Pelodiscus sinensis: one gene and its partners. The protein of the gene in region 1 interacts with the protein of each later gene in a pairwise test. Links are inferred from orthologs where the notes say so. Each region holds a gene or a part of one and is shown on either strand. Other genes may lie near its edges.

Region 1 (7,712 bases):
TCTCACCCCACCCCACCCCACACGTACTCCCTGCAGCCATGTCCGAGTGGCCCAGAGTGCTGGCGCACGCACTGTCGGGCCACTGTCGTGCTGCTCGCCCTCCTCCCTGAGACGGTGGCGCTTCAGCGGGAGTGCGGGGCTCGGATGCCCCGTCACAGGATGATAGTGCTTTGATTCTTGCTATTCTGATGAAAGTAGAAATCTGAACATCGTAAAATCCTTGAAAACTGGGGCAAAAAACAATTTTAGTCACCTAGTCCATCTATCAAGGGAACAGTCCAATGTGTTTCCTGTACTATGTTCTGTAATATGGGAATGGCAGACTAATGGATGTCAGACTTAATGTTCTTAAGAATGTAAGTACAGCCATACTAGGATTAGACTAATGGTCCAGGTTAGGGATGTAATAGTGTAGTCGATTAACCGATTAATCAATAAGCACAAGCTTACAGATTAATGCTATAGACTACACGCATTTCCCTCTCCCATTCCCTTGCAAGTAAATATTTTAGCAGGCTGGCCAGCAGCCCAGCTCAGTCCTGGCTCACGCCGGGTCCGGGACCTAACCCTCCTGTGGCTCTTCATTTAAAGTATATTACGAGTCAGGCAGCCCAACTTAGTTCTGGCTTGTGCTGTGTCCAGGCGCTCCGACCCCCCTAGATAGGGTCTGCTGCTACCCCAAGCTGCTGTGGACCAGTTCCTGCCTGGCACCTCGTGCTGCTGCCTCTGATACAGAGGTTGCCAGCCCCGCCAGCAAGGGGACTATTGACTAGTTGACTACCCGATAAGAATTCATGAGGTTACTCGACTATTCAATTAACCGATATTTAACATCCCTAGTCCATGTAAACCTAATACCTTGTCCTCTAACAGTAATCAGTGCTAGATGCTTTGGAAGGAGTGAACAGAACCAAGTAGGTCTGCTGTCGAGTGGTGGTGGTGGCAGCAAAGGGCAACTGCTCTCAGGCCCAGTGATTCAAAAGAGCCTGGGACTTCCAGCCACCGCTGCCACAGCAGCATCCAGAGCCCTGGACGCTTTAAATCGCCACTGGAGCGCCCAGGTGGCATATAAGTCCGGAATGGGAAGAACAGGCTGGGGTTATATTAACTGATACTGAATGTGCATACTCACCTTACCCATCCTAGCAGGAATATCACAGTGCAGCAACACAGCTACAGAGTAAGGCAGAAGGAAGGTAGTACAAGTTCTGCCATACTCTTAGGAAATCTTATCTCTAGTCGGGAACTGAACGTGGTACTTGAGAGAATTTAAACAAAATAGCAAACACAATTGCCAGAAAAAAACCAGTGTAACTTTTTGTCTGTGGCTGCCAGCTAGGATTGAAGGAAGGTGCAGAGGAGTCTGAAACAATTAGCAGAATCCATCCACACTATGCAGAGGTACTCCATTATCACAACGGTGAAATGAACAGACTATTGTGGTTTGTTGGAAGCGACTCTCCCAGTGCTGTGGTAAGCTTGACTCACATGGCCTTAGACGTGGGTGACCCCCTGCACACTATCATTTGGGGTAGGGGTGAGGAACCTTTTTTGGGTCGGGGGCTGGTGACCTACAGAAAATTTAGTGGGTGAAAAGTGCAAATCTCCACCCAACTCTCACTGACATGGCCCCCAAATGAGAAGCAGAAAGACACTCCCCACATCCTCCTCACACGCCAGAGCCTAAGGGGGGTCCAGGCTAGTAGATTTTGTGTGCTCAAGCCCTGTGGTGAGGTGGTAGGGATGGGGGGGGGGAGGCAGGGGTAGAGTGCTAGTGTGGTCACCCCAGTGCTGGGGGCAGGAAGGGAGTCATGAGCCAAGGGGGCTGGATTCATACAATCTGGGGGCTGCATCCTGCCCCCAGGTTCCCCACCCCTGATTTGTGGGCACTAAATCTTCCATTCAGAAGTCACATATCCTTGTTTGGTGTATGTGTTTTTCTCAACACTTTTGCTTGATGACTTTTGTTTTGTTTTGCTTGGTTGTTTGGAGGGCCACAAAAACATTTTCCATCTTGGGTGGCAAACACATACAGCAGTCTCTGCTTAGCTGCTCCAAACACAGAGCACTGGTTTGGCACTTTGATTCGGTTTGTATCAGTCCCCTCTGTGTTTTTGTACTGAGCTGTGGGCAGCAGGAGGGTCAGTAGTTGCGTTTAGATTGGTACCTGACCAGGCTCCTCAGCTTCTTCATATCTGCTAAATAATTCCTGGCATATTACTCACCGGCAGTGTACCCTTCGTTGGACTCGGGGGAATATGAAGTCCCTGTTCCTTAGGGAGGGTGTGTTTCTCTCATAGTTCTTTTGAAAGTGCTCCTCAGTGTATATGCCTCTCTTGATTTTGTACTTCCCTAGCTGCCTGGGAGCACTGACAGTCTCAGCATCTGGCTCCATGCAGTCACCCTGATCATGGACAGTCAAAAACACAGGAATAATGAAGGCAAGAGGAAGGAATCAAAGCCACTGACATTACCCATGACACTGAAGATAAAAAGGAGGGTCATTGAACTGGAGTGTCCCATTGAAAAGAAATGTTTAAATGACTAAGCCCAGGGAAAAATCCATCTCTGATGTAACTCCATCTGAGAAGGGTGCTGAAACAATTTGTACAAGGGGGGGGGGGTTCTTCTGAGAGCCATTGAACCACACTGTGACGCCTGTAATGGCCACCACTTCAAACCTGGCGGTGCAGCATCACCAGCACTTGTGCACCCACGCCGCGGGTGTCATGCCAGGGCAGTGTGGCCGGGAGGTCCTCTGTCCACGGAGCAATGGTGGCATAAGTGGCAGTGGTGTTAGCTCCCCCTCTGCTGTTGCAGCCCCCAGGGCCACTTCATTGGGGGTCACAGGACTCCTGTCCACAGATCCCTGTGGCCGGGCAGCTCTACAAAGGGACTGGGGGGCACTGACCCCGGCTCCCTGCCGGCCCCCCCCACTGGCCCGGCCCTGGGCGGGGACAAACTCCGCGCATGCTGCCGGGAACAGGGGACCCCCGCGCTCACCTGCGGCAGCCTGAGCTTCGAGACACGCGGGGCCGCCGGGCCTGGCCAACTGCCAACCCCGGGGCGGGGCGCGCGGTGCTCGGGATACTCCCCCCGCTCCTCCGCGGCGGCCAGACCCCCCCCCCATGGAGCGCCCGGCTCCGCTCCCCCCAGCGCCACGGGGAGCCCGGTCTGACCCCCCCCTCGGGGCTGTGCACTGGGTAGCGGGATGAATGGACACGTACCCGCTGCACGCCGCGGCGCGTAACGCACCAACCAGCCACCCCCCAGCCGGTGTTTTAATGCCCCCTCGCAACGCAGGTCGTGGGTGTCGGCTGCACCCCCCCCCCCTTTTCCAAGCCGCGGGGTGACTGCGGGGCCCAGCCACCCGGGGAAACGTGCACGAGAGAAACACAGGAACGGGGACTGCACCCCCCCCCCCCCCCCCGCGTCCAACCAAGGGGGCGCTGCGCTCAGCCGCTGCGGGGCCGTCCAGGGAGGCGCGTCCGTCTGGGGCAACAGCGCCTCTAAGCGTCCTCCCCGCCTGCCCAGGGAAATCCAGCGGGGTCCAGGCGAGGCCCCCGCCCGTGACCGGCAGCCTGGCCCCGTGACAGTCCCCCCGCTGGTGCCTGACTGAGCGCGGGCCTGTTCTCAGCACAGGCCGAAGCCCCACGGACTTGAACAGGGGCCTGCAGCCCAGCCCGTAGCAAGGTGCGGGCGTGAGAACTGCCCCCCCCCCCCCCAAGGCAGGGGCACAGTGCCCAGAAGGGGACACGGCAGACACACTGGGGCAGTGGCAGTGCCCCCCCAGGCAGAAGCAGGGGCACAGTGCCCCCCCCAAGGCAGGGGCGGGCGGGAGGCGGCAGACACACTGGGGCAGGGGCAGTACCCCCCCCAGGCAGAGGCAGGGGCGGGGACGTGTCCCCCCCCAGGCAGAGGCAGAGTACCCCCCCCCCGGCAGAGACAGGGGCACAGTGCCCAGAAGGGGACACAGCAGACACACTGGGGCAGTGGCAGTGCCCCCCCCCAGGCAGAGACAAGGGCACAGTGCCCCCCCAGGCAGAGGCAGGGGCACAGTGCCCCCCCCAGGCAGAGGCACAGTGCCCCCCCCAGGCAGGGGCACAGTGCCCCCCCCAGGCAGGGGCACAGTGCCCCCCCCAGGCAGGGGCACAGTGCCCCCCCCAGGCAGAGGCACAGTGCCCCCCCCAGGCAGGGGCAGAGTGCCCCCCCAGGCAGGGGCAGGGGCACAGTGCCCCCCCCCCCAGGCAGGGGCAGGGGCAGAGTGCCCCCCCAGGCAGGGGCAGGGGCAGAGTGCCCCCCCCGGCAGAGGCAGGGGCACAGTGCCCCCCCCGGCAGAGGCAGAGGCACAGTGCCCCCCCCGGCAGAGGCAGGGGCACAGTGCCCCCCCCAGCAGAGGCGGGCGGGAGGGGACGCGGCAGACACACTGGGGCAGGGGCGGGCACTGGCTCTGCACGGCCGCGGGGACGTGGCCAGCCGCCAGGGCTGGGCAGCCAGGCCGGGCCCCGCGCCAGCGTCCTCCCCTGCGGCCAGGCCGCGCGGCTCTGCCTCGCTCCGCCCCCCGCCGGGTCGCGGGTCGCTCTCGCGAGACAGGAGCGCCCGGCCGCTGGTTCCATATTGGGTCATAGCCGCTCTTCGCGCCTAGGCTCTCGCGAGGCGGGGCCAGGGGAGGGGGCGCGATCGATTGGTCTGCGCTCCGGGAGGAGCAGGCGGCGCCGCCTGACGCAGCCTGGGCAGTGCCACTGGGCCGGGAGGGGGAGGTCACTCCGGCATCGCCCGCGTCGCCTGCCCTGGTCTGTTTGTGAGAGGAGTCCCCCCCCCCCCCCCGCCACCAACTCACATCTGGTGCCTTTAAGGACCCCCCCCCTTTCCTCCCGTCCACGCGCTGTCCCGCCCCGTGGGGTGACAGCGCCGCGGGGCGCGTGAGGAGAATCCCAGCCCAGCTAGCGCGAGACAGCCCCGGGCGCCGCTGCACGAGACACCCCCCGGCCCGGGGCGCGCGGAGGCTGCCAACGGGGCCCGGCCCGGGCCGTGCTGAGGGAGCTCGGAGCGGGGGGGGGGAGGGGAGGTGCAGACCTGTCCCCTCTCTAGGGGGCAGGGGAGGAGGCGTCCCTGCTGGGGCCGCTGGCGGAGTCCCCCCTCCCGCCTGGCCGGGCGGGGCGGGCCGCGGAGCCGCGATGACTCTGGAGCGGCCCAAGTTCTACCGGCAGGAGCTGAACAAGACGGTCTGGGAGGTGCCCGAGCGCTACCAGAACCTGTCCCCGGTGGGCTCCGGGGCCTACGGCTCCGTCTGGTGAGTGTGTGGGGGGGTGTCTGCCAGCCTGAGCTGCACCCCTTCCTCAGCGGGCTCCGCTCTCGGCCTGGGGGGGTAGGGAGTCTGGCCTGGCTTCTCCCCCGCTCCTGCATGCCGGCGGGCGGTGCACGTGCAGGGCGCTGAATGAGTTGAAGGGGAGCTGGGGGGGACCCCCTCAGCTCGGGGGGGGACCCCCTCAGCTCGGGGGGGGACCCCCTCAGCTCGCTGGGGTTCATTCCCCGCCTTCTGCCCCCGGTCTGATTGAATCGGCCTTGCCCACGGGGGATTTTCATCCCTGGGTTAGTGGAGAAACCGCTGCAGAACTAGTGTCTGGCTGGTGCTGTGCCCCAGATGGCACCGCATGACAGGGGCTGGTAAACGCAATTTCAGAGTCTTGTCTAATATTCCCTCTAGTCTTTTCTGTTCATGGACCATTTTTTCTAACCATGAGCTGAATAAATTTGTATGTGAACCAAGACATGTAGAAGTGGTGAGGGAGCTCGGAGGCGGCCCGAGGTCCCCTGAGGGGAGGTGCAGACCTGTCCCCTCTCTAGGTCCCTAAGTCCCCATCACATCATTGGAAACAAAACCTAGCTGTAAGCACTGTGAATCAGCTCATTGGCATTGAATCTCTTTAGTACAGTTTACAGGGAACACTCCTCTTGTCCCCCTTTTCCTCCAGGATATTAATGCACAAACTTTCCTCCTCCCCCACTTGAGTTACTGAAAGGTGGAGTGTGCCAAATCCCTGCAATTTGCTTTGTAGAACAGGATGACAGTTTCATCTTGGAGCTGCAGAACAAGTTGCATTTGGGGTAACTTTAAAGAGTGATTGGTTGTTATGTGACAATGAGATGGTGGAAAAGGTTGTGAGGTTCTCTTTTTTGCCTTGCCAGCAGTGCTTTTACAGGTAACAATTGGGCATGGGAGGTTAACAGAGGGGAAATTTTGTGGTCTTTCCTGATTGAGAAAATTAGGCATTAGTCCTGCTGTCAGATCTGTGAAAGCGTGGACATAACCCCAAAGAAAAATATTCTGGTCTTTAATCCTTAGTTAAACTAATACAGATAAGATGTGTATAACCAATACACACAAGACGTGTATCTATAGTTTGAATTGCTTGTAATTACAGCAGCATAATCAAAGATGCTGAGCTCCCATGGTATATCAAGTATTTTTGCTCATTTGCTAATGCAACAGTACTTATTAGTTTTGTTCTTCAATAATATAAAAAAAGAAATGAGTTGATCTACTTGACTATCCTCAGTGGTGTTGTCAAATCACAGTGATGCATGAAAGCTTTTTTAGGTGGCTTTACCGTTTTTTAAAAGATACATTAATGCTGTATGAACACATATAGTGTCTAAAGTTTTTCACCCACTATGTCAAACCCCGATAAAGATTTTGTAATAGTGCTTCCACACAATGGTCTCCTAATTTGTGATGTGAGCATGCATTAATGAAGTTATATGCAATTTGTAAATTTATACCTATAGTGCAGGGCTCACAATAAATATGAATGAAGAAAAGTAATTGCTATGTATATATTGTAGCTTTAAAAAAACCTGTCAGATGTTTGCTTTTAAAAAAGGCTGATTATATTCTACAATATTGTTCCATTTAAATAAGATCTATTAAAACTGCTTTGTTTGTAGTAAAGTATATTAAGCATTTGTCTTTTATACTTTGTATAAAGGTTAAACAGGTTCTAGCAGCATGAATAATTGGTATGACAGCTGACTAACCGAATGCATTCCCCCTAAATTTTTGGTATAGAAATGCTAAGTGTAATTGTAGTACAGGCAGTCCCCGGGTTACATGGATCCGACTTACATCGGATCCCTACTTACAAATGGGGTGAGGCAACCCCGCACTAGCTGCTTCCCCCCCAGCAGACCAGGGAGACGCGAAGCTAGCCCCGCCCCCCCAGCAGATCAGGGAGATGCGGAGCGGCTTTTCTCAGCAGACACCTCAGCTTGAGAATAAAGGATTGAGGGAAGTGAGGTGTGGGAGAATAAAACTGAGCTCTGGAGAAATGTTTGGCTAGAGTTTCCCCTACAATATGTACCAGTTCCGACTTACATACAAATTCAACTTAAGAACAAACCTACAGTCCCTATCTTGTACGTAACCCGGGGACTGCCTGTACTGTACTAAGATAAGAGCTTGACCTTGCTGGTTGATGATTATTTCCTGAGATGATGAGTTGAGGGTGCTCAGTGCCTTGCAGCAGGGTCAACACTAGAAATATAATGAGCAAGATCTCCTCCTACTTCCAAACCCCCATTGTGCTTTCAAAAAAAAAATGCTTGCATTACTTAAAAATATTTCCTTCCATTACCCATATAACATAAGGATTTGCATCATTAACTTCCTGTTTCAGAGTGTCGGAACCTTCAGAGATTGTGCAATTGCATTA
Region 2 (7,658 bases), on another chromosome or scaffold:
TTTCAGTGGTTACATGGTTACATGCACCTGCAGCACAGGGCAGCAGATAGCACCCCAGAAGCCAGCTGATCGAGAGGCAACAGTACAAGAGTGGGAGTCAGTACGGTCCCTTGCTGGCCCCATGGCATTCAAAGTGGCACATGGAGCCCAGGGTCGGGGGTGGGGGAGAAGGGGAAGAGGGGGGAGTCCCCAGCTGAACCCAGGCTCCACACAGCACTGCCACCTTGAAATGCCACGTGTGGCCTGGCCCAGACTGCACGTGGCATTTCAAAGTGGCAGTAGAACATGGAGCTCAGGGTCTGGCCCCAGGATCCATGCGACTCCACTGCTTTGAAGCACCCGCTGCTCTCCCCCGTCCTGTTGCCTCTTTTTAATAGAGGCAGCCAGGGAGGGGAAGGGGGAAGCAACTAATGTGTCGACTATCTGATAAGCATTTGCATATCAGATAGTCAACTAGCTGTTCACATCCCTATTTTAGGATACATGCATATGAGATATCAATCCACAAGATTTTAGGTACACTCTATCCACTGATTGCTTGACATTACGAAAATACCTATGGCATGTTACTGCTTAATTGTCTGCTATAGATGTGTGAGTAGGGCTTACATATTCCTCTGAATCATCTAGTTTGTGGGATACAAGAATGGATTAATGAGACAATTCCTATCTTCTATTCTAAGAGTACGTCTAGACTACATTCCTTTCGAAAGAGGAATGCAAATGAGGGAAATAAAAATGCAAATGAAGGGCTAATTTCCAAATCTCGAGCTTCATTTGCATAATCTCTTTCAATTGCTTTCTTGGAAGAGATTTTTTTTTTTTTTGAAAGAAATGCAGTCTCAACGGGGTTCTTTCAAAAAACAAACAAACCCTTTTTCAAAAGAACCCTGTAAACCTCATTTTTTCAGGAATAAGGGTTCTTTCGAAAAAAGGTTTTTTTTTTTTAACCCCATCTAGACTGTTTCTTTCTTTTTTCCCCCCTGAAAAAAGTCTCCTCTGAAAAAGCGATCCGAGATTATGCAAATTAAATGGGATATTTGTAAATCAGCGCTTCATTTGCATTTTCAATTTCCCTCATTTGCATTCCTCTTTTGAAAGAGGAATGTAGTCTAGATGCGCCCTAAGTGACTGACTGATTTAGGTGCAGCATTCATAAGCTCCATAGGAAGCCCAACCATCAGCTGGAGAGAGTTACAGTGTTAAGTCACATATCTGAGCATGTCAGAGACACAAAGGAGTTTTCCTTTTCTATCTTCACCTGCCAAATACCCACCATCCTGAAGGTAAAACAGTTATGAAAAATATTACTTCAATTGTATCTTACCATTGTAGTTGAAGCCAGGGTTTCCAAATGGCAGATGAAATATTTAAGAGTTTTGGTGCAGTAGGCAAACAATCATATTTTTAGGGTCACGTGAGGTACTGTAAAGTTTGAGAGGAAAGGAGAAATACAATTACCAGCTAAGTTAAACAAGCAATACTGTTATTTAAACTGAATATTTTAATGGCAGATTATATTGACTTTATTTACATAGATAGACTCTAATTCACTAATAAAGTAGTCACCATTGACACCTGTTATCCTGCAAATGAAGCATAGCCACTCCATATCAACACAACTACTCAAGAGTAAGACAAAAATCAATCAAAATAAACTACACGGCCAAATGCAATTACCCATACCTGCGGTGTCTTGGCAGAATACCATAGCACTTATGTCTCTGACAGAGTAAATATCCCATTTTACTCTAATAGAATGATCAGGACATTTATTTTATGTATCAAAGAGCCAGCTCTGATTTTATGTATTATTTGAAAAACAGCAACTCTACCAACAATACTTCCTCACACCATTTTGAGATGGTAAAAACTACCAACCACTGAGGTGCTAACAATTTTACTCAGCACAAGACCTCCTTAGACACTAATCAAGTCTAGCAATATTTTACTTTTGAATTAAATAAGATAAAGAAATTGTAAAGTCTATTAATACAATTACTTACCTATACATTTTTAAAATCCTGTTTACTTTTTACTAATTGTGTTCCATTTCCTTTCAGACTCTCTCAAAGAGGAGACTTGAAAGTCCCTGGATATCAGTTTTGTTTCTTAATGTTGCATTTCAAAACACTGCAGGAAAGCAATTTAACTATTTCCAAGGGTTTTTATTTTGAAACATGGAAACATTTTCTACCCATTTTAGATCCCACACAGTTTTTTAATACACATTTTAAATGACGGGTTATATTTAATTTGCCAAGTATCTCTCTCTGTTACTAGCTATATACTAGCCAACCTCTTCCTTTAGAAATCTGTTTATTTTTTTTTATTTTTTTGGTTCTAGTTCTAGGGACACACTATCCGACAAGCAAGTGATGCTCCAACAGCGAAGCAACAACTCCGGCCTTTAGCCACTGGCCAGGATGTCACTTTCCAAGCTATGAGAAGAGACAATCTCTGGGGCCGAGACTCTGCAACTCACAGCCGCACACAGGCGAACAGGACCGGGGTGGTGGCAGCGCTTGGCCGCACTCGGAGCCAGATCGGCGGCACTGCCGGCGGGTGAAGGCCCTGGGACGGGATCGCGGGGAGCGGGTGGGCTGCAGGCAGCTTTAACCCAGGCCTTGCCAGGCCCCGCGGGGCCGAGGCCACCACTGGCAGCGGGGCCGTTGGCAGGTATCGGAGGCAGGCGCAGAGCCGGGAGAGCGATGAGAGCCGCCCAGGCGCCCCGGGGAGGGCCCAGGACCCAGCAGCCACTGGGAGGCCCAGAGGCCCGGCCCGGCCCCGGAGGGAGGGCGCCGACCCGAGAGGGGACGCGGAGGGTTACAGGCCACCTCACCCGGCGCCGGACACAAGCGCCCCCCTCCCCGTACCTGCCGGCCTCATGTCGGGTCCTGGCCCCCGCACAGCTGCCCCCGCGGCCCTTTCATCCGCCCCCCCCCAGCCCGCGGCCCCCGCGCGCGCCGCTGCTTCCGCTCCACCACTTCCGAATGCGGCCCGGAAGGGGCGGGAAGAGTTACCCTAGAAACCGGGGAGGGGTGAGGAGAAACCCTGCCCTGTTGCCACGGTGACCAAGCGCTGGTGGTGACCTCCGCCGGCTCCCCCGCCCCCTCGGAGAGCGCCTCCAGCGGCCGGGGCCGAGGCAGCGCTGGGGCCAGCCCTTATTTCCCTCCAGGCGTATCGAGCGTGGCGCGCAGGCGCCTACCCCTGCAGCTCCCCCGCGCGCCAGTGGGTCCCACACTAGCCTGCAGGCAGCCACCTCTGAGTTCCCGCTCTGCCACAGATACTTCCTGCCGCCTTGGGCACGTCTCCTAAACCCAGCTCTTAGGAGCCGAAGTGCCTTGGATGGTCCCTTTCTGGGCCTCAGTTCCCCATCAGTGGAACCCTTTCAATAGGGAACATGGACATAGCACTTCCCTACCTCACCGGCGCTGTGGGGGCAACTCTGTTAAAGGCTGTGATTAGCATAGTAAGGGTGACCATTTCAGTACCTAAAACGAAATCCAGGACAATGTAGCACTTTAAAGACTAACAAGATGGTTTATTAGATGATGAGCTTTCGTGGGCCAGACCCACTTCCTCAGATCAAACAGTGGAAGAAAATTGGCACAACCATATATACCAAAGGATACAATTTAAAAAAATGAACACATATGAAAAGGACAAATCACATTGCAGAACAGAAGGGGGATGGAGGGGGGGAAGGGGGGGAGGTAAATGTCTGTGAGCTAATAATATCTCTCCTGTGCGGCTGCACAAGTGCACGGCTTACAGGGAACACTAGGGTTTGGTTGTACTGGGGCTGGGGCCAGAGCTACCGTGTGGTAGGCAGCAACGGCAGCTCCAGAGGCCGGGAATGGGGACAGAGCCGCATGGCGGGTCGCTGCCCTGTTGAAGGGCCGACCTTATAATTGGGCAAATTGGGCCCATGCCCAGGGTACCATAGCCAGAGGGTGAGGGGCAACCGGGCATTGCTGGGAAAAGGGGGTGAAGGGTACTGGGTAGGGGGGCAGTGTGGCAGGACATGGGTTGGGGATTGGTGGCACAGCTGGGAGGAAAGTGTAGGGGTTGGGATGAAGGGAGCACTGTGCAGAAGTTAGAGGCAAAGGGGGCACAAGAATTCAATCATAAGAACATAGGAATGGCCATACTGGGTCAGACCAAAGGTCCATCCAGCCCAGTACCCTGTCTGCCGACAGTTGCCAATGCCAGGTGTCCCAGAGAGAGTGATCAAACAGGTAATGATGAAGCAATCTCTCTCCTACCATCCATCTCCACCCTCTGACAAACAGAGGCTGGGAACACCATTCCTTACCCATACTGGCTAATAGCCATTTATGGACTTAACCTCCATGAATGTATCTAGTTCTCTTTTAAACCCTGTTATAGTCCTAGCCTTCACAACCTCCTCAGGCAAGAAGTTCCACAGATTGACTATGTGCTGTGTGAAGAACTTCCTTTTATTTGTTTTAAACCTGCTGCCCATTAGTTTCATTTGGTGGCCCCTAGTTCTTATATTATGGGAACAAGTAAATAACATTTCCTTATTCACTTTCTCCACACCACTCATGATTTTATACCTGTTTACATTTAAATTCTCCAGTACAAACCCTGAAAATAGCTAGAATGCTGCATGGGTACAAAATCTGTATTTGCATCTGATACAAAATCCTCAAAAATGATCACAGATGCCTGTAGGTTCACAGGGCTTTAGGTATGAAATTTGATCTGCATCTATACATGATCTGCAAAAATGGTCTGTAGCTATCCACATCTGCAGATATCTCATATTCTCATTAGAGTTATCTTGCTGGTATGAAGATGATATCCATGGTTTTGCAGGCTCTACAAATAGCCATCTCTAAGCCAACAGGTGCAGCCAGTGGAGGCTGATGTTCAAGAACAGCTCCCATCATGATGCAGCATTCAGGCTAATGCTCATTCTGAGGCTGTGTCTACACTGCACCCCTTTTCTGGAAAAGGGATGCAGATGAGACAAGTCGGAATTGCAAATGAAGCGGGGATTTAAATTTTCCCCGCTTTATTTGTATTAACATGGCTGCTGCTTTTTTCCGGCTCAGGGCTTTGCCGGAAAAAAGCGCCAGTCTAGATGGGGATCTTTCGGAAAATAAAGCCTTTTCCGAAAGGTCCCTTATTCCTGATTTTAAGAGGAATAAGGGACCTTTCAGAAAAGGCTTTATTTTCTGAAAGATCCCCATCTAGACCAGCGCTTTTTTCCGGCAAAGCCCTGAGCCAGAAAAAAGCGGCAGCCATGTTTATACAAATGAAGCGGGGAAAATTTAAATCCCCGCTTCATTTGCAATTCCGACTTGTCTCCTTTGCATCCCTTTTCCGGAAAAGGGGTGCAGTGTAGACACAGCTTGAGAGTATGTCTACACTGCAGAGTTTTTTCAGAAAAACTGCTGTTTTTCCAAAAAAACCCTTCATTTACATCCACACTTCAATTGCGATCTTTCGGGAAAATAATCGAAATAACAGAGGGGTTTTTCTAACATTGGTAAACCTCTTTGTACGAGGAAGAAGCCTTTTTCCAAAAGGGCTCTTTCAGAAAAAGGCATCTGGGGATGGGGAAGAGGGAGTTCTTTCAAAAGAAGAGGAAAGAGGAAAAAGCACAGGTGCCCTCGTGGCCACTCTGTCCACAGCTTACCTGTGAGATAGCATCCATTCAGTGTGGGCAGATGCGCTTTGGCAGTGTGGATGCTCTCTTTCGGAAGAAGTTTTTTCGGAAGATGTCTTCCGGAAAAGCTTCTTCCGAAAGAAGCCCACAGTCTAGACACAGCTTGAGTCATTACTTGATGCAGTATGCTTGGTGTACATTGGTAAGGGTGGCAGATATTAATTGGCCGCAGGTGCTCCAAACAATGAGGATCTTTGTGCTGCTTGACTCCCTCATTGCAAGAGCCAGAAGCAGTGGGCTGGTCTCAGATTCCATTACAAATCAACTGATGACAGAGATGGAAAGTAATTTGTCTGTTTGCTTTACTTGAACATTTATGTTATATATAAGAGTACAACAAAGACAACAAACAAGATATAGCATAGTGCCGTGGTCACCAACCCGTCAATCACGATCGACCGGTCGATTGCGAGGCCTCGACCAGTCGATCGCAAGGCGTTGCGGGCCTCCTATTTCCCTCCACCACCAAGATGTCCCACTACCTACCTCTAGTGACAATGGAGGTAGTGGTGGCTTCCCGCTGGGTGGACGGAAGTCCTGAGCTGTGTGTCACTTTCAGGGGTTCCGGAAATGTGCTGGCTGCTTCCTTGCCCCAGGTCTTCCTTGCCCCAGGTGGAACGAGGTGTACAGATAGTTCGGAATAGGAAGCCTAGTCCGAACTATCTAGTTTGTGCCGCGTGTAGCCACGGGCACGGAGTCTGCACTAGCGGACATTTAAAAATGGCGGCGCCCGGCAACATGCAAATGAATCCCAGGAAATTCAAATCCTGGGCTTCATTTGCAAGTTCGTATGACTACATTAACCACCCTAGTTCGAACTAGGGTGGTAGTGTAGACATACCCTAACTGGGGGAGTCCCCAGAGGCACGCGCTGGGACTTCCTTGCTTCACGGGAGGGGGGAGTCGGGCCCATATGGGGCGCATGACAAGGGCTTCCCTGCTCTGTGGGAGAGCACGTCGGCCCAGCAGGAGGCGTGTGACAGGGCTTCCTTCCTCTGCAGGGGAGGGGGGAGTCCTGGGAGGAGGTAGGTGCAGGGCACCCTGTCCCCTGCTGTAGAACCCTGTCCCTTTTCCATCACTGGCACCCTGTCCCTGCTGCAGAACCCTGTCCCCTGCTGCAGAACCCTGTCCCCTGCCCTCCTGGCACCCTGTCCCCTCTCCCCTGCCTCCAGCCGCAGAACCCTGTCCCCACTGGCACCCTGTCCCTTGCCCCAGCACCCACTAGCACCCTTCCCCAGTACCATGTCCCCGGCTCCCACCAGCACTGTTGGGGCCACGTTAGTGAGGCTTCAGTGTTTTTAGAGGTGTTATTTTTTTGTATCTCACTTGTGTGGCCCTAACTGACTTTTCTGTGGTCAGTGACCCCTGACTCAAAACAGGTTCCCTGCCCTTCTCATAAATAAAGACAACGCAGAAACTTTTTGTGTTTGATATAATATTTTATTTAAAAATGAAGCCTGGCCAACAAACCCCCAATTGGGATGAAGCCCCCATCTGCCCACAGCATCATAACACTCCTGCACCCCCCTTTCCCTCAGACCCTAGATCTGAGCCTATCATACACTGGAACCCCTTGCCCTGAGCCCCGCACATACCTCAACCCAAATTCCTGTACCCTCACATCCACAAGCCTGTGGCTTGCTTAATACCCCAACCCTCCATCTGACCCAATACTGCCTGGCCTGGAGCTCCCTCCCAGAGCCAGCGTCCCCTTCTCCTCCTCTTCCTGCATCCAGATTTCCTCCCAGAGCTTGCACCTCTCACCCCTTCCCACACCCAAATCCCTCATTCCCACCCCAGAGCCTATTCATCCTGTCTCGACCCAGTGAGGGTCCAGCTAGACTGCAGGAATTTTTCAGGATTCCAGAGATATCCCAGAAAAACTTTTCTGCATCTAGGGATGCGTTTGTTCTTCTGCTTTTTTTAGTGGAAGAGCAAACACGCTCTTTCGGTAACC
Region 3 (6,867 bases), on another chromosome or scaffold:
AGAAAAATCATAATTTATTCTATTTGTATAAAAAGTCATAATCATGTAACAAAACCATGTCTTCTTTCATAAGAAGAAATATATTATTTCACATCATAAATAAATCAGCAAACATACAACCCTTGGAAACTAAAAAAGCACTCATCTGGTGCTTTCATGTCAGTGCTTAGGAAGTGGGAACAGTTTAAGATGTGTTTACAGGATTACAGTACCCAAAAAATACTGAGGTATTTGGTTTCTTTAGAAATGAAACTTCAGGCTTGTAAAGGCAAGAACAATGCTTCTACATAAAATAAATAAACAGGACTTTTATATAAAATGGAACATAATCTCTGTTGCTTAGAATGTCCAGAAATGGGAATACTGGTGGGTATGCTACTGAACAAGGACTAGTCTTTTCAACCTGACAAAGGAGGAGTAATTCAGAAGAAGAAAACAGCATTCTGTGTTCTTTGTCTCCTTTGTAGACATCCAGATATTGGTCAAAAATATGCCAGCAAATTCAAGGAAGAACTAGCTCTCTGGAGTCACATCAGCCCCTTTGTGCTTGTGATAAGTTACTCTGAGATGGATGGAACCCCATGCGAACTCACATGACTGAAGACACTGTCCCCATGGTTATTGCACTTTTTAGACAAGAGTCAAGTTTTTGTATTCTGAATAAATGTTCCTCTATTCTTCAGCAGCTCGGAGAAGTGGTGATGGGACTCTGTAGATAGCTTAAAGCACTGGATGAAGGGTGTACAGGGATAGAGACTGGGAAGTTAAAGACTGTGGTGGTTGACGTTCCTCTGTCCAATACAGACATGGCAGGGCTTCCAGCCTCTGCGGAGCAGTTAGGGGCTAGGACTTGAGACTCAAACTGAAGCAGCTGCCCCATGAAACTGAAATTTGGGGAGATGATGCTTCTCCTCTGCTTCACAAATTCAAAGGCCTCGTCTAATTTGACTCGATTGGTCCTCATGAGATAAGCAAGGCAGATGGTTGCTGAGCGAGAGATGCCAGCCTGGCAGTGCACAAATACCCTTCCACCATCGTTTTTAACAGAATCTGAAATAATCAATTAAATGACATGGTTAATACATGGGTCCGGTTCCTCCAATGCTACAGAAACATGAGCTTTTATTTCTGAATTTGTTCTTTCCCCAGCACTCAAGGTGTGCATGGCACTTCAGACAAAGAGACACTTGTCCTGAGGTAAACAACCACCTAAGGATTTCTATCCCGAATAAAACTAATTCCAACGATACAAATAGTTTCTTTCAGCCTCTGACACTTGTTTGAAACAGTTATCACTGTTTTAGAAATCAAAACCTACTGGTGGAATACCAGGCTAAATTTACTAACTGCTTTATAAAGTCAAGAATCCTTTCAGCAGTTAGCAATACAGCCTCGTAGAGAGCACAGACCCAAATAAGATAGCTACAGATTTACTTCATGTTACTTTAATCCCTGAGGAAACAGCTTCCCATGTATTTTAAGATTAAACTGGGCTAGAGATTTCCACTGAGATCTCTACTTCAAGGGAAATGCAAGCTGATTCTCTGGAAGCACAGGCTGCAGAGAACACTCATTTACCTATGAAGTCGATGGCTTCGTTAAACCAGGAGCTGATGTCAGCCTTATGGTTGTCCTCCACTGGAATGCTTTTGTACTGGTAATGCCCCTCAAAATGGTTGGGGCAGTTTGCTGAGACATTGATTAAGGCGGTGATTCCCAAAGCATCCAACATGTCCTTTCTGGAGGCATGATAGGCACTGCCCAAGTAGAGAAATGGTAGGATTTCCACTGGCCCACCCTAAACAAGAAGAGACAAAGGAAGAGGATCAGATAATTGCACTGTGTGGTTTAAAGTAGCCTCTCTTCTTTTGCTATATGCAGGCAAGCAGACATTTGCTCTCTTCACTATCTTTTCTGTGTCTGAACATCACCTCTGGAGATGCCCAGCCTTAAGGGCTATAGTCAATTCAAATGACCCTTTCTTGTTTAGCAGGTTTCCTACTGACCTGGTCATAGAGCGGGGTTCCACAGGAGCTGCAGCCGGAATCCGCACTGCCAGGCATGCTGTTGGCACTCAGAGGCAGGCTCAGGCCCGTGGGAGCGGTTGGCTTGGTACACAGCTCAGCGCAGGCGGAAGAGAAGGCTTCGTACCCTCCTGGAATGGGGAGAGAAAACGGGGAAAGTCTTGTTAGCATTGGTGAGGCGTAAATGCCCTGTTCCCCCTGAGAACACACAGGCCAGATAGTGTCTGGCTGGCACAGTCTCCCCCTTCTCCCCCGCCCTGAGCGCTCCCCGGACTCACCCCTGAGGAAGCAGATGCGCGTGTTCCTGGCCTCCCTACAGAGAGTGTTCACGGCCAGCATAATGGTGCTGTCCCGCTTCGGCAGCTCCAGGTCCGAGCTGCGCTCGTCGAGCAGCACCACGGCTTGGTACCCGCCGCCGAGCAGGCGGCCCCGCAGCTCCTCGTTGGGGATGATGTGCTCCAGCCCCATGGCCCCCTTGGCCCGCCGCCGCACGATGGTGCTGAAGCGGACGTTGGCGGAGCCCAGGATGTGCGCGGAGTTGAAGGAGAAGAAGGAGCGGCAGTCCAGCACCAGGCACTGGGCAGCGCGGTCCTGCAGCAGCCCCCGCAGCGCCTCGCAATCCAGGGCGCACACTTGCATGTTGACCATCGCTCGGAGCGCGGCGCGGGCGGGCAGGGTCCGGGTCCCCAAACGCAGGAGCGGGGAGGTGGGGGAGGACGGGCGGTGGGTCTCTTTCGAGGTCCAAGGGCGGGTCCCCTTTGTGTGAGCGCGGGGGCGGCTTCCTCTCCCGGCTCCTTTGTTGCTTCTCGGGGCGCTTTTTACAAACCAACCGCGCGGCGCGTCTCGGCAATTTCTTGTGTGTAATTCGGCCCGCACAGGCAGAGTCCGGGTCCGAGGGGAAGCGCCTCTGACTGCAATGGAGGCTGGGTCCGCGAGTGCTCTGTGTGCCCCCTTCTTGCTCCCGCTGTTCACAGGGTCCTGGCGGGCTGCAGCGCGCGCGCGGCCTTTTATAGGCTCCGCGGCGGAGCGGCCTGCCCCTTTTTTGTGAATGAGCCTGGGTCACCTGACTGCTTCAGACTGACGTCACTCGGAGGGGCGTAGGGCAGACACTCCCTTGCCCGGGAGCACTCACGTCATCGGCTCGCCAGCAGTCGCTGGAGTGCAAACTGCAGACACACACACACACACACCTTCCATCCTGAGCCGGCAGGAAATCGACTGATGCAACCCTGCGCGCTGCAACGCCACGGGCAGCAGCCACCGGGCCCCTCGGCACACAATGTACAGCGGAAAGCCGAAGAACATACACGCGCTTTGTTCATCTTTTTGTTCCGCAGTCTCTTATCGGGTCGGTGTGTGAGGATTCACACACACTCCCCTCAGGCCTGGTGTGATGCCGTGGCTAGGCACAGTCGCTCTCGAACTGCCCTCTGCTGGGTGGAATTAGAGCTCTTCCACTCAGTGCCATAGACCCCACACTGGTAAGAAGCTAAGTGAGGTTCCTTTAAAGCACAAGTAATAGTGATTCCTCCTTTCTTCAAAACAATATTAGTTCATGTCCATATTCCTTTATAGCTGTAGTGTCCAACCAGTTCTGAAGCAGTAGCCACTGCAGTAGCTATTGCTAAAGCGAACTAACCACACTCAAGTGGCTAAATTGCCAAATGTGGCTAGTGTGGTGGAGACCACAGCTTTATAGAATAGGAATATGATTGCCAGCACAGATTCTTCATCTTATGTCTCTTTAGGCTTATACACACATACCCCTACTGACATTTACTTTAGGCTTACACACACACATCACATACTGACATACATCTGGCATGTGAAAGGAGTATTCAGAAAAACATTACAGGGTGGTGAGAAGAGGAATGGGCAATTTTTAAATATATATTTGAGGTTCCTAAGAAAGAGGGGGTGTGTATATATGCAGAGGAATATTTCCTGTATTTTGTATGAAAGAAAAAACAATGTAACTAAACTCTAGTCCTGGGACTGTATTCTTTGCATACTCAAAATTCCCACTGAAATCAGGGCTACGAAATAACTGGCAGTAGAGTTTTTTTCCCCCCTTCACCAATTAGTAAGGCTTCCCAAAAGTTACTTTTCCCTGTGGGTGATCAGCTTTTATCAACCCACTGGAGTATTTCTTGCTCAGAGCTTCCCATCACAGTTATTTTCACTTCCCCGTCCTCGGTGCCTGATTTTTATGTAGTCTCACAGCCTGTCTTTCCCTTCTCTGTGTATTCTCTCTCTGTCTCTGTTATTACCCATGGGGAAGAAGGCTCCCCTGGGGTGCACCCTTACCTTGAAATAAGATATGTAAATTGTGTAGCTTATTTTGAGGTAATTTTGAAATAGCTTATTTTTAAACTTGGTGCCATCTACCCCGTGCCTAATTTCAAAATAAAGTGCTATTCTGACAAGTCCCTTAACCCTTGTGGAACAAGGATTACAGGGACGCTGGAATAGTGTGTCCATTATTTCAAAATATATTTTGAAATGACGGGCATGTTTAAAAATGTGGAATTGCTATTTCGGGATACTTTCGGTATCCCAAAATAGCGCTGCTGTCTAGATGTAGAGCAAATCTCTCTGGAGTCCCTTTTCCCTATTGGCCATTCATTGTGACTCCTGCTTCTCCCGTCCTCTTACCTCCATACTACTGCTTTTTCCTTCTCTGCCTTATAGGCAGCAGTATTCTCTTACCATCCTTCTTCTCTAGCTACATCTTTCAACACAAACTTTCCCTGTTCTCATTTCCTCTAATACCCTCAAATTGCTTTGGGGAAGCCTCTCACACTTTCTAAACCCCAGACTGCCACAATTTTCTGGGACTTTCCAGAGCCTTCTGCACTGGCTCCTGACAAACTATTAGTGACCAGCTGCTTCAGAATGTTCCAGAACCTCCTCTGTAACTCCCTGTCAATCCATAAACAAAAAAGGGCTCTACAACCTTCTCAACTTCCCTGCTGATCTGTATCTGACCAAGTGCCCCACAGCATCCAGACCTTTCTCCCCCAGACAACTGACTAATTGCCAGTCTGAAACTGATTAACTGATTGTGCAATTGCCTCCATTCTGCCAAACCATGACTCCTCTGCCAAAGCTGAAGATTCAAAGCAAATCTGTTTTTTTCCTTAAAAATAAAAACAGGGTTGCACTTTTTCATTTCTGTTTATTTATTATTGCTATTTTAACAACACCATGACTTAAACACAGATTGTGTGTGAAGGATTCATATGTTCCAATGGTTGATGTTCCAGCCCTCTATCAGCTACTCAGTTACTAGAACCATGGAGGCAGCGTACAACACATCATTTCCAGTGAATCATTAATGCCCAAGAAGCATGATCAGTGAAATATTCTGCTCACAGTTAAGTGGCTATTTGATCAGAATAGGTCACATAATCTGTTGTATGTGCTGCATACAATGTTGACATTAGCAAGGTTATTATTTATAAACCTCACTCTGCACAATACTCCAATTCAAATTTTAATGACCATGTATTCACAATCTGCTCTTTTAGGGGAATAATAATAATGATAATTATCAAGAATAAATTTAGTAATAGTCTTTTCACAAAAAACAAAACCCACTGTTATGTCCCCCATGCTTTTATGAAAATTGGCTTATGAGTATACTTAACTCAGACACTCTAAAATATCTCATGTAACATCAATTTTAAAGTTACAGTCTGCTGAATCTGTATATTTTAATTTTTTGCATGTATCATTCTTGTATGTGAAGTTAGAAATATGAAATGTGAATCTGGTTTTAAATCTGAATGTGCTAATAAGGGCCATTACTGATGCTGTGGAAACATAATGGCTCAGTATTCAAACCAACAACCCACGAATGGCTTATTCTTCTTAAAAGCCCAAATTGTGGTTGGTCATAGGACTTGTGGCCAGGCCACGTGATGCTGAAACCCATTTTGGACCCTGTACTTTTCCACTCAAGGTGAGAAAAGTTTGAACTTGTATGATTACAGAATTCACGCCTTGGGCAAAAAGGGTATGGGGTGAGGGAAATCAAACAAAAGGGGCAGATGCCAGGAGATGCCACTTACCACCTAACATGCCTGTTCGGAAACATCTAAGATCGAGTAGGGGTGAAGAATCCTAGGCCCAACCTAGGAGGCTGCTTAGCTTGTGAAAGATGTTTAGAACAACTGTTTAGGGTAATAATTTTCATGTCGAGTATATTTAGTATTTTTGAATTGTTTATTTAAACTTAGTAACTTGCTTTGATCTGACTGTTTTCATTGTAATCACTTAAATCCTACATTTTGTACTTCATAAAACATTTTTGTTTATCATCAAGCCCAGAGTAAATAATTGTTACTGGAGGGGAAGGGGGGGGGGAAGAAACTATCACTGTGCATACCTCTTTCATAGATAAAGAGGCAAGCATCTTTATGAGCTTTCTCTGTGTGAAACTTTGGTAAAAAACTGATTTATTTGGGCTTTTGGTCCCTTTTGTGGTTTGGTTTCCTGGATACTGAGTTCTTATAGCCAAGCTCCTGGAGCTGAGCTGGTTCAGCATCTCTGTTGCTCTGCAGAGGGCAGTAACCCCAACTCTGTGCCTTGGATGGGGCAGACACAGGGTCTTGCCCAGCAGGACAGTGTGGTAGAGAGTCCCAAAGGGCAGGAAAGCAGACATTAGAGGCATGATCAGCACACCCAAGGGGGTTTCTGTAGTCTAATCCACAACCACTCAAGAAAGAATAGGCCAAGAACTGAGGCCCTTAGAGAATTGTCTTGGCAGAATTCCTACTTACTGCATATACAAGTAAATACTCAAAAATCATTTCAGGGAGGAGAAAGGTGGAATGCAGCC

What was found. The genes of interacting proteins can lie anywhere in the genome.
Region 2: the proteins of MAPK14 (region 1) and SUPT20H interact in binary tests that used the Homo sapiens proteins (3 or more experiments, as listed by UniProt). The link is inferred for Pelodiscus sinensis from reciprocal best matches to the Homo sapiens genes MAPK14 and SUPT20H.
Region 3: the proteins of MAPK14 (region 1) and DUSP1 interact in binary tests that used the Homo sapiens proteins (3 or more experiments, as listed by UniProt). The link is inferred for Pelodiscus sinensis from reciprocal best matches to the Homo sapiens genes MAPK14 and DUSP1.

What each region holds. Positions count from the first base shown.
Region 1 is NC_134737.1:12,871,679-12,879,390, forward strand, and holds the start of MAPK14 (mitogen-activated protein kinase 14), read left to right. Parts: upstream 1-4,696; 5' UTR 4,697-5,177; coding exon 5,178-5,293; intron 5,294-7,712. Other genes in the region: SLC26A8 (testis anion transporter 1), read right to left, coding at 2,226-2,395. UniProt on the Homo sapiens protein: Serine/threonine kinase which acts as an essential component of the MAP kinase signal transduction pathway.
Region 2 is NC_134711.1:294,784,926-294,792,583, reverse strand, and holds the start of SUPT20H (transcription factor SPT20 homolog), read right to left. Parts: upstream 3,013-7,658; 5' UTR 2,877-3,012; intron 2,134-2,876; exon of another isoform or gene 2,007-2,133; intron 1,426-2,006; 5' UTR 1,331-1,425; coding exon 1,328-1,330; intron 1-1,327. UniProt on the Homo sapiens protein: Required for MAP kinase p38 (MAPK11, MAPK12, MAPK13 and/or MAPK14) activation during gastrulation.
Region 3 is NC_134727.1:18,126,219-18,133,085, forward strand, and holds the start of DUSP1 (dual specificity protein phosphatase 1), read right to left. Parts: upstream 3,013-6,867; 5' UTR 2,673-3,012; coding exon 2,303-2,672; intron 2,156-2,302; coding exon 2,007-2,155; intron 1,799-2,006; coding exon 1,579-1,798; intron 1,051-1,578; coding exon 680-1,050; 3' UTR 1-679. UniProt on the Homo sapiens protein: Dual specificity phosphatase that dephosphorylates MAP kinase MAPK1/ERK2 on both 'Thr-183' and 'Tyr-185', regulating its activity during the meiotic cell cycle.